Linked DNA regions of Oryctolagus cuniculus. The protein of the gene in region 1 interacts with the protein of each later gene in a pairwise test. Links are inferred from orthologs where the notes say so. Each region holds a gene or a part of one and is shown on either strand. Other genes may lie near its edges. The genes, in order: LDLRAD1, BNIP3L and ADGRG7.

Region 1 (3,750 bases):
CCTACAAAAGCACCGTAATAGATGGGGCGAGATGCGTCAGGTAATAATGGGCTTTACTAGACCTGCGCTGGATTCTGAGTCCAGCAGAGAGGTGTTGGAAGGTTTTAAGCATGCTTCCGCCCCAGTGAAATCCACTTGCCCTCAAGTCCTGTCCTAGGGTCTGACTCCTGGGAGCCCTAAGTTGAAACGCACCCTTCGTCTAGTCTGTCTCCTAGGGAGTGGAAGCAGGCACTGAGGCCCGGGAAGGGGGGTTGCTTGCCCACGTGAGAGCCGGCTGCAGGGCCTGACCAAACCCCGTTTTCCTGGTGCGGGGCTCAGCTGTTTCTCTGTAGCTCCCCGCTTCCTGAGGGCTGCCCCTATGTCTGCCCTCCTCACCCTTGTTCCCAGGGAGTGGGCGTTTTATTTCCCAGTGCAAAAGAAACGGCTGGCCATAGGTGAGCAATCTAGGGGCATCAGAGGCAGGCTTCCAGGGGACCCCAGCCTAGAACCCCTGGGCTGGTTTCTGGAGGAGGACACCTCCCCTTCTCCCTTGGTCTGGGCTCTGGTCCAGAGTGAAACGCTTCTGGGACGATGGTCTTCCTAGCAGGGAGCTAGGCTGCTGGGGAGACTGCAAGTGGGTAGACAGATGGGTCGCTGGGGGGAGGCTGCTGCTGTGGTGCAGCAGGTTAGGCCACCGCCTGCAATGCCGGCATCCCATTGCAGCACCAACAGCAGTTCCCAGTCCTGGCTGCTCCATTTCCAGTCCAGCTCCCTGCTGATGCACCTGGGAAAACAGCAGAAGATGGCCCAAGTATTTGGGCCCCTGCACTCACTTAGGAGACCTGGAAAAAGCTCCTGGCTCCTGGCTTTGTCCTGGCCCACCCAGCCATGGTGGCTATTTGGGGAGTGAACTGGCAGAGGGAAAAGCTCTCTCTCTCTCTCACTCTCTCTCTCTTTCTCTCTTTCTCTGTCACTCTGCCTTTCAAATAAGCAAAATAAATCTTTTTTTTAATTTTAATTTTTTTTATTTTTGACAGGCAGAGTGGACAGTGAGAGAGAGAGACAGAGAGAAAGGTCTTCCTTTGCCGTTGGTTCACCCTCCAATGGCCGCTGTGGCTGGCGCGCTGCGGGCGGCGCACTGCGCTGATTCAATGGCAGGAGCCAGGTACTTATCCTGGTCTCCCATGGGGTGCAGGGCCCTAGGACTTGGGCCATCCTCCACTGCACTCTTGGGCCACAGCAGAGAGCAGGCCTGGAAGAGGGGCAACCGGGACAGAATCCGGCACCCCGACCAGGACTAGAACCTGGTGTGCCGGCGCCGCTAGGTGGAGGATTAGCCACGGCGCCGGCCGAAATAAATCTTTAGTAAGGGATCACTAGAGCCAACAACCTGCCCCTGCCTCATCCCCACCCCCAGCACTGTCTCAGAGAAAACTAGAATGCACTTTGCCATATTTTAATTTTATTTATTTATTTGAGAGGCAAAGAGACACATAGAGACAGACAGGAGAGATCTCCCATCTGCTGATTCATTCCCCAAATGCCTGTAACAGCTGAAACTGGACTGAGCTGAAACCAAGAGCCAGGAACTCCATCCCAGTCTCCCACGTGGGTGGCAGGACCTAAGCACTTGAGCCACCTCCACCTGCTGCCTCCCAAGGTGGGCACTAGTGGGAAGCTGGAAGGGAGTGGAGCTAGGACTCAAGACCAGGTACTCTGAGACGGGACGCAGGTGTCCTAACCACTAGGCCAACGCCTGCCCCGCCACGTTTCGTGTGCTTGTTTTGTTTTAGCAGTTTTAAGTGAAAGTTGTCTCTAAGATTACTTTACTCTGGCATCTTCCTGAGTGCTGCTTCCTCACATTTGCCCTTCCCCTGTCAGACTCGGTGAGACCTGGCTTTGCGCTCCAGGATCCTTTTACGTGCTGTGCAAAGAGCGTGCTTTCAAGCTGAGAGGCCGCCCACTGCCAGCGCCATCCCGGTGATTCCGCCAGGGCCACCTCTGCCACCTGTCCAGGTAAGAACAAAAGAGGCTGCCTCCTGGTGGCTCTGTGCCGCAGGGCAGGGGAGGGGTGGCTTCCTCCTGGGCCGGGTTCCTGAGAGGCTGCACCTGGGGACCTGTTTGACGTCCAGCGCTGGGCTCTGACCACTCCTGAGGACACTGTGCTCCCTGGGACCTGTGACACTCAGAGGTCGGAGGGGGTAGAAAGAAAAAAAAAGGATCTTTTTTGTGGTCTTTGTCCAGTTTCAAGCCAGCAGGAACCACCCTGTTGGATGACTGCCACAAGGACAGGTGTGCCTGTGGCCTCTCCCGCCGCACCTGTTCAGTGTGGATGGCAGATTTTTTCCAGTAGCCCCGGGCCATGCTGCCCATCTGCCGGCCCTCACGGTGTCCTCGCACCTCTCGCACTGCGCCTCCTTTCACACGGGCGTGGAGCACACCTTGAGCTTCTGTCTCAGCTCTCCCGGACGGGGGAGACTCGGCCTTCCTGCATTGCAATGCCTCCTTCAGCCACAGAAGGGTTGAGCTTCATCTCAGCCACAAATGGGAAAAGCCCCTGCCACATTTTTAAAGAAAATGATGAAAAATTACAGTTGCTTTATAATTTAGTGGGAAATGCATATTCTTTTTAAAAGATTTATTTATTTACTTGAAAGGCAGAGTATGTGTGTGTGAGAGAGAGAGAGACTGTCCATCCGCTGGTTCACTCCCCAAATGTCCCCCACAGCCAGAGCTGTGGTGATCCGAAGCCAGGAGCCTCCTCCGGGTCTCCCATGTGGGTACAGGAGCCCTAGGACTTGGGTCATCCTCTGCTGCTTTCCCAGGCCATAGCAGAGAGCTGGACTGGAAGTGGAGCAGCCAGGACTCAAACCGGTGCCCATGTGGGATGCCACAGGCGACCACTTTACCTACTATGCCAAAGCACCAGCCCTGAATTATCTATTTAATTAAATGACCCTTCTTATTGGCCACTGACACAGTGACCTGTGCCATGACTGGCTGCCTCTTCACACGCTGAGGGCTGCCGGCTCCCAGTCTCACCGCAGGCCCTGCAAAATCGCTGGGCTTAAGTCTCACCCCTCTCACCTGCTGTGTGACTTGGGCCAGTCTCCCTCTCCGAATCTCGGCTCTGCTTGCGGTCTGTAAGAGGGGAATGAGGATTGCAGCCTTGGCGTGTTGCTCTTGGACTGCAGAGTGGGGAGAGGCCTGGCGCATCAGGACCCTGCTCTCCTTTCCTCTGCCTGGGAGGGCGTGGCCAGGGCGAGGCCCCTCCTCCAGGCTGCCCTGGTGACAAGGGAGGGAACCTGCCCTGTATCCCTGGAGACTGGACGCTGAGAGCTGGAAACATGAACAAGGTCTTCCCCCAGGTAAGTGCGGCCCTGCGTAGCTCCTGATGCAGGAAGCAAACTCAGGTGAGGGCAGGAAAGGGGCCAGGTTAATACTGCACCTGCCCCAGCCACTGAGGTGAGTCAGCTCCCACCCTGCCCCAGGGGCTCACTCCCAGGTATCAGGCCCCACACGTGACACAACTGGACAGTTCAATGATGAACTGGGAGGAAGCCGGGGTGCAGGTGCACAGGGGCCAGGGGAGTGGATGATGTTAGGAGATCAGGGAAAGCCTCGCTGGGGAGCTGCCTGGGCAGGTTTGAGGGGCGGATTGTGGCAGGCAGGCAGTGGAAGAAATGGCGCTCCCAGCATGGGGCACGGGGGACAGGTGTGTAACTGTGACACAGTCAGGGTGACTTAGGGCGATTAGCACCCCGCGTTGGG
Region 2 (3,650 bases), on another chromosome or scaffold:
TTTTTCTGAACAAAAAGGAAATGTATGAAAAAAGGTACTGCTATCTCTTTTTTGGGGTACTGTTACAGTTCTTACTAAAAAAAGCACGGGCAGCCATTTGGCTATGTCCCATTTTAGAGTACCTGGGTTTGGTGTTCAGTCTGGTTCTCAACTCCAGCTTCCCTCTGACGTGTGGCCGGCAGCAGTGATGGCTCAATTGGTTTAGTCCCTGCCACTCATGTGGGGGCCTAGGTTGAGTTCCTGTCCTCTGGCTTCTGCTAGGTCTAGTTCCAGGCATGGCAAGCATTTAGGGGAGTGAACCAGCACATGGGAACTTACTTTCTTTATCTGTTTTACAATAAGAAATAAAAATAATTTTAAAAGAAATTAGGAGTAGGCTAAGCCTCCACTTGTGGCACTAGCATCCCATATGACCAGCAGTTCGTGTCCTGGCTGTTCCTCTTCTGATCCAGCTTTCTGCTTATGGCCTGGGAAAGCAGTAGATGGCCCAAGTGCTTGGACCCCTGCACCTGCATGGGGGACCCAGAAGCTCCTGGCTACAGTTCTGCACAGCTCCAACCGTTGTGTCCATTTAAGGAGTGAACCAAATGGAAGACCTTTTTCTCTGTCTCCCCCTCTCTCTGTCTATAACTCTACCTCTCAAATAAGTAAATAAATTCTTATTGGAGGGTGAACCAATGGTAAAGGAAGACCTTTCTCTCTGTCTCTCTCTCTCTCTCACTGTCCACTCTGCCTGTCAAAAAAATAAATTAATTAATTAAAGCACCCTAATGTGTTCAGCAAACTCACTGGGCCAATAGTTATTTTTAAGCTATGCACCTCACCAGTGCCACATCCCCTTTTTCTGTGGCTCCGCCCCCTTTGCATGCTCACCCAAGAAAACTTTTGTGTCAGCCTAAGTTGAAGTACGATCGTGTCACCTGCAAACCGACAAGGCTTAATGAAAACTCTACAAAGTAGGAACCCGTGGGAGAGAAAGAAGAGATAAGTTTACAAGGTATGTTAAGTGTGTAAAAAAGGAGAAAGGGTGAAGGCTAAAGGAAAGGAAGAAGCTAATTTGTGGGCTAGAGCTAAAGTTTTTCCTAGAATTTTTAGCATCACCACCTGATTTTAAGGACCAGCTGCATTAATTTCATGCTCCAGATAAATTTGTACACAAATTGGCATTTTTGTGATTGTATTTAGGTTCCTTCTCTGGAACTTCTAATTTGTGCTAATTAGGATGTATTTGTTAGCCTATTTGGCTGAACTTTGTTTTTTCTAAGTTGTGTTTATTTTGTAGAGCAGGTACAGATATCTGAGGTTAACTATAGAATGTGTGTAAAAAACTATCCCAATAAAGGTAAGTAGCCTGTCTGGTAATAAAATAACTATTTTTTTTTTTTTTTAGAAAAAGCAACCTCAAGATGTTCAGTAAAGTGTTGACTATATATGAACTAAGCTTTAACCAGAGAGAAAATTGGCTGAAAGATGTGTTTTCTAAGATAATAGTTTTAGACTTCCAGTTTCATTCTGACTACATGAGCTACTACTTCAAGAATAAAACAATATGGATTTTAGACTTAATTGCTTCTTGTTTATTTCCTTCGGAATACTTTTGCCTTTGGTTGGAAGGAGTCAGACTTTTTATCTGAGTTCACCATATTCACATCTGTGTGCACATGACAGATTTCGGTTCCGCTGTGGTTCACTTCAGTTATCTGACTTGTCCCACAGGTTCCTGGGTGGAGCTACCAATGAACAGCAGCAATGGCAATGATAATGGCAATGGGAAAAACGGGGGCCTGGAGCACGTGCCTTCCTCGTCCTCCATCCACAATGGAGACATGGAGAAGATTCTGTTGGATGCGCAGCATGAATCGGGACAGAGCAGCTCCAGAGGCAGCTCCCACTGCGACAGGTGAGCGAGAGCCAGGTTTCCATGGAACTCAAGAACAGAAGGTATAAAGCTAACTCGGATGAGAAGAAACTCAGTTAGCTTGAAGTCCTCACTTGACAAAATTCGCCTCCTGACTGATTATAGCCTGTGTGTTTAAACCAGACAGCTGACTAGCAGGAAATTTCATGCCCACTGTTGTGTCCCCTAGATTAACTTGTTTTTCTTAATCAGATTTTGTGATTTTTGGATATTCATCATTTATTATTATTTTTTAAAAGGGTTGTTTTTTGTTTGTTTGTTTGTTTGTTTGTTTTGACAGGCAGAGTGGACAGTGAGAGAGAGAGACAGAGAGAAAGGTCTTCCTTTTGCCGTTGGTTCACCCTCCAATGGCCGCCGCGGCTGGCGCGCTGCGGCCGGCGCACCGCGCTGATCCGATGGCAGGAGCCAGGTGCTTCTCCTGGTCTCCCATGGGGTGCAGGGCCCAAGCACTTGGGCCATCCTCCACTGCACTCCCTGGCCACAGCAGAGAGCTGGCCTGGAAGAGGGGCAACCGGGACAGAACCCGGCGCCCCGACCAGGACTAGAACCGGGTGTGCCGGCGCCGCAAGGCGGAGGATTAGCCTAGTGAGCCGCAGTGCCAGCCAAAAGGTTTATTTTTTAAAATGTATTCGAAAGACACAGTTAACAGAGATAGAGAGAGAGAGATCTTCATCCACTGGTTTACTCCCCAAATGGCCACAACAGCTAGGGCTGAGTTCACCATACTGCACATGACAGACCAAAGCTACACCAGGGCTGGACCAGAGCCAGGAGCTGCCTCTTGGTCTCTCGCATGGGTGCAGGGCCCAAGAACTCAGGACATTTTCTACTGCTTTCCCAGGACATAAGCTGGATTGGAAATGGAGCAGCTAGGCTAAGAACTGGCACCCATGTGGGATGCTGGTGTTGCCGGCAGTGGCTTTACTTGCTGTGCCACAACGCTGGCCCCTATTTATCAGTTTAAAATTCATTGGCTATTAAATTATAGAATTGATCTCTCTTGCTTTCTTTTCCCAAATCGCATTCTTCCTTGAATTACAGTGACCTCTGGATCTGTTTTCCCTTATGGATGGTAAGGCCTCGGAAGGCAGGGTTCATGCTTCCTCTTCATACCTTTGATGATAGTGCTGGTATGTAGTAGACACACAGTAAAGTTGAGTCATGCTGTAGCAGTATTCACAGTGGGAGCACCAACCATGGTCTATAAAGGTGGTGTTCTTGAAGGCCATTCTGTTTCCTCAGATGCCAAAGCTTTATTTTAGGCCTCATTTTTCTATATTTGACTCAAGAGGGAAACTAATTCCACTGCTTATGGTGAAAGAGTTAAGGGTATAGACAGATGTATGCACAAGAATGAAAGTCATTTTTCAGCAAAATCTTTTCTTCTTTTCAGAAAGACTAGGTATTTTAAATGACATTTAAAAATTTTTGGTACCATGACACTGCACTGTTAACATTACCAAGGAAGGTTTGTTGGCCGATGGCACCGCACCACCCCCGTGCCATCCCTGACTTCTTTCTCTGCTACCTGGCTCTTGTCATAAGCAGAACCGGAGCAGATGGTCCTTTTCTGAACAGCTTGCCATTGATTCCAGTAACCAAGCACTAGTGTGTCTTTGAGAGTGAAGCTTTGTGTTAGATTTGCTTTATGGAACTTGCTGAGAGGGTGTTTGGCTTTCTGAAGTTTTCTGCTTGCCATGGCCTGTTTATAAGGCTCTTATTACACCTTCAG
Region 3 (3,650 bases), on another chromosome or scaffold:
GGTAGTTACAGAGAGAGTTATAGCAATGGCTGGGGCTGGGCCAAGCCTAAGCCAGGAACCAGGAACAGCATCTGGGTCTCCCACATGGATAATGGGCCCAGGCTCTTGGGCCATCTTCTACTGCTTTCCCGGGTGCATTAGCAGGGAGCTGGATTGGAAGTAGTGCAGCCAGAACTGGAACAGGTGCCCATATGGGAGAGAAAGTAGTGTCTAGGAGTATGAAATCCAGCCAGGCCATCAGCCACATGGCCTACAGCTAGGCATGGTCAGTCATGGGAGTGGTAAGTCCTCTGATGCTACAGCCTACCTTTGGAGGTTATTGAACACTTCCAAGTGTTTGGTTTTCATCTGGGTTGGTTTGGGACTTAAGGTAGAATCTGGGGATAAGAATGGTTGGATTTATAAAATGAGAAGGTAGTTTAGTTTAAGGAGCAGTTGCTGACTGGCAGCAAAAAAACATGTAAAGCGTTGAGTACCAGTTCAGTCCAGTTTTCTTCTCTTCCTCCCACATCAAAAGCACACACCATCCAAATACTTTTGTTATTGATGATTAGTTATTTACAATGGAGTCACAGGAACAATTTAGTTTGTGTGGTAAGTTTTCGTTATAATCCCATCAATGTAGAATCAGTATATAGAAGTGACAAATGCATAGTGCTTTTCAAATTATTAAATGTTTTCATTCTTGCTGGACTTCTTATAGTAATCCCAGAATAGGTTTTACTGTTATTGACATTCCTGCTTTTTAAATGAGAAAACTAAGGATTATACAAAATGAGTAATTAGGGATCATACCTATTATGTTTTCAGATATTTCAGACAATGAAAGGAGAAAATTTAAGAAAATAAAGTTCAGATTTAGAAGTTTAGTTGATTATTTGCTTTACAAATGACTTATCTAGGAAATTTCCATGTCACTGCATTAAAAATGATGTGTTCTTTGAGATTTTGTAATGCCCACCTCTAAATGTGACAGTCAAAAGTGAGATGCATATAACATTTGGAATCAACATCACTGAATAGTTATATTCTTTTCTTTTCTTTTATTTTATTTTTTGACAGGCAGAGTGGACAGTGTGAGAGAGAGACAGAGAGAAAGGTCTTCCTTTGCCGTTGGTTCACCCTCCAATGGCCACTGCCGGTGCGCTGCTGATCCGATGGCAGGAGCCAGGTGCTTATCCTGGTCTCCCATGGGGTGCAGGACCCAAGCACTTGGGCCATCCTCTACTGCACTCCCTGGCCACAGCAAAGAGCTGGCCTGGAAGAGGGGCAACCGGAACAGAATCCGGTGCCCCGACCGGGACTAGAACTGGGTGTGCCGGCTCCACAAGGCGGAGGATTAGCCTAGTGAGCCACGGCGCCGGCCTGAATAGTTATATTCTTATCTCAAATAAATTGATATTTTCAAAAATATAAACTCACATTTCCTCTTGCCGGTAGTCTAACTCCCATTGTGAGTCTTTCTTATTCTGAGAATAGATAATTCCCACAGTTATGGCCACTACTATCGCCGGGACACCTGTGTGATAAAAGAGAGGAACAGAATCAATAATTTATCCAAGAATAGGATTAATTACAAAAGACCATTAATGAATTATGCACCTGACCCTTTTCAGGAGGCATTGTTCTTTCCACCATGGATGATATACTACATGATCCTACAGACATAGGTCAAAGTAGATGTAATTTATCTTCTAAATGTTTTCCTTTTCCTTTTATTGTTTGCTGTACATATTTTCTGATTTCTGTGTAACTCTTACCACAATTTCCATTTTTTCCCAAAGAAACCTTTTATTTTTATATGGCTTAGTTCTTCTTTCACTTAAATAAATTTAAATGTGGATATTACTCATATAATTCTTCCTTTGCTGGAACACAATTAATTTTTGAAATAATTTTCTTGAAGAGTTATTCTGGTAGTCTTGTTTTTAGATTTATTGATTCATTTGGAAAGCAGTGTTACCAAGAGGCAGAGGCAGAGGCAGAGGCAGAAGCAGAAGCAAAAAGAGAGATCTTCCATCCACTGCTTAACTCTTTAAATGGTCACCATGGCCGGAGCTCGGCCGATCCGAAGCCAGGAGCCAGGAGCTTCTTCTGGGTCTCCAACCCAGGTGCAGAGGCCCAAGGACTTGGGCCATCTTCTACTGCTTTCCCAGGCCATAGCTGAGAACTGGATTGGAAGTGGAGCAGCCAGGTCTCCAACCAGCGTCCATATAGGATGCCGGCACTGTGGGTGGCAGCTTTATCTGCTACACCACAGTGCTGGCCTGGATAGTCTGTCTTGTAACATTTCTTTAAAGTATGTGGGAAGTTAATACTTGTTGCTTAAATCTCAAATAAAACTAGATGGAAAAAAGATTTAAGTTTGCTGCCCTGTATGTAGTATATCTTCCTTGATCACCAGTTCATCTTTCGCTTTAGTATAAGTTACTAGACATAAAGCATTCTTAGTTATTGCCATAGTGTCTATCTTCCCTCATGCTTGGCCTTGTACTTTTAGGCTTTCATTAGGTGTTTGTTTAAATTATTTCAACAAAATTAAATTCCTAAGTAAAGATGCAAATACTTACCCCATCCAATTAATGAGATGAACAGAATGAAATGTCGAGGAAGGGGCTTCATGGTCCTAATTAGGAGGAAATAGAGCTGTGTAGCACTGAGTCCATTCCAGGCAAATGTCACCAAGAGGAAGTAATGCAGTAAGATAGCAATCGCCGTACATGTGGGATTCGGGATGCCAATAGTGTCTGTTGTGGGTATTTCGTTATTATCAAAGTCAATATCATCGGTGCCACTGTCACTTGTCTGCAAGTTCTTATTGGAGTTTTCAATTCCAAACACAAAAAGGAGGTTGAAAATCAGCATTGATGTGCACAGACTGACCAACACCCAAGTTATTGAAGTTTTTCTGACTTTCCTGAAAATAAATAAATCTAAATAGTTAAATGAAAACAAAACAACTGAAAAAATAAACCCTAATGAAGTTGTGAGGGAACAAGGAATAGTATTATCCAACATAAAAGCAGCTTATAGCCCAGTGGGCCAGCTGGGAAACCTACCTTCCCAATTATACCAGGAAAACATTTTCCCCTCATCTCCTTTCTACAAATTAGTGAGGTAAAGTAGTTGAAGTGTCCTTTCTTAGAACTGTATTCTGATCAAAAGTAGCAGTGAATCTACAAAGATGACTGCAGTGAACTCTAAATACTGGATTTATGCCCTGGTGGCTCTGTCTCATGCATGGCCTATACCATGATTTAACTAATAGAATGCAACAGAAAGCCTGGCAACCAGGATCAGCTTATCTATTAAACATAGCAGTACTTAGGGCCATGGTTTTTTCAGGGCCGATACAATGTTTTAACTTCTTTTAATTCTAAAAGACTAAATAAATAAGTAAATATACTTTTAGGTCAAAGAATATTAGTGTATTCATCTTTATACCAATGCAGTTATAAAATACAATTTTTAATTTTTTATGGAGGAAGTATCCCCGAAAGGCAAAAGTGCCTGGGGCCTGTAAAAGTCTTCTCCCCCAACCCCTACACACACACACACGACTTCCCCTTGGAGCTTCTGGAATTTCTGAGCACTGCAGAAATCCCATGGAAATGCTGTGAGGCGAATGGGGAGAGGGAAACATCCCAGCC

What was found.
Region 2: the proteins of LDLRAD1 (region 1) and BNIP3L interact in binary tests that used the Homo sapiens proteins (3 or more experiments, as listed by UniProt). The two-hybrid records come from large-scale screens. The link is inferred for Oryctolagus cuniculus from reciprocal best matches to the Homo sapiens genes LDLRAD1 and BNIP3L.
Region 3: the proteins of LDLRAD1 (region 1) and ADGRG7 interact in binary tests that used the Homo sapiens proteins (3 or more experiments, as listed by UniProt). The two-hybrid records come from large-scale screens. The link is inferred for Oryctolagus cuniculus from reciprocal best matches to the Homo sapiens genes LDLRAD1 and ADGRG7.

Annotation. Positions count from the first base shown.
Region 1 is NC_091438.1:118,979,249-118,982,998, forward strand, and holds the start of LDLRAD1 (low-density lipoprotein receptor class A domain-containing protein 1), read left to right. Parts: upstream 1-1,402; 5' UTR 1,403-3,326; coding exon 3,327-3,347; intron 3,348-3,750.
Region 2 is NC_091433.1:47,850,355-47,854,004, reverse strand, and holds part of BNIP3L (BCL2/adenovirus E1B 19 kDa protein-interacting protein 3-like), read left to right. Parts: intron 1-848; exon of another isoform or gene 849-997; intron 998-1,716; coding exon 1,717-1,900; intron 1,901-3,650.
Region 3 is NC_091435.1:55,234,308-55,237,957, reverse strand, and holds part of ADGRG7 (adhesion G-protein coupled receptor G7), read right to left. Parts: intron 2,918-3,650; coding exon 2,571-2,917; intron 1,520-2,570; coding exon 1,423-1,519; intron 1-1,422. UniProt on the Homo sapiens protein: Orphan receptor.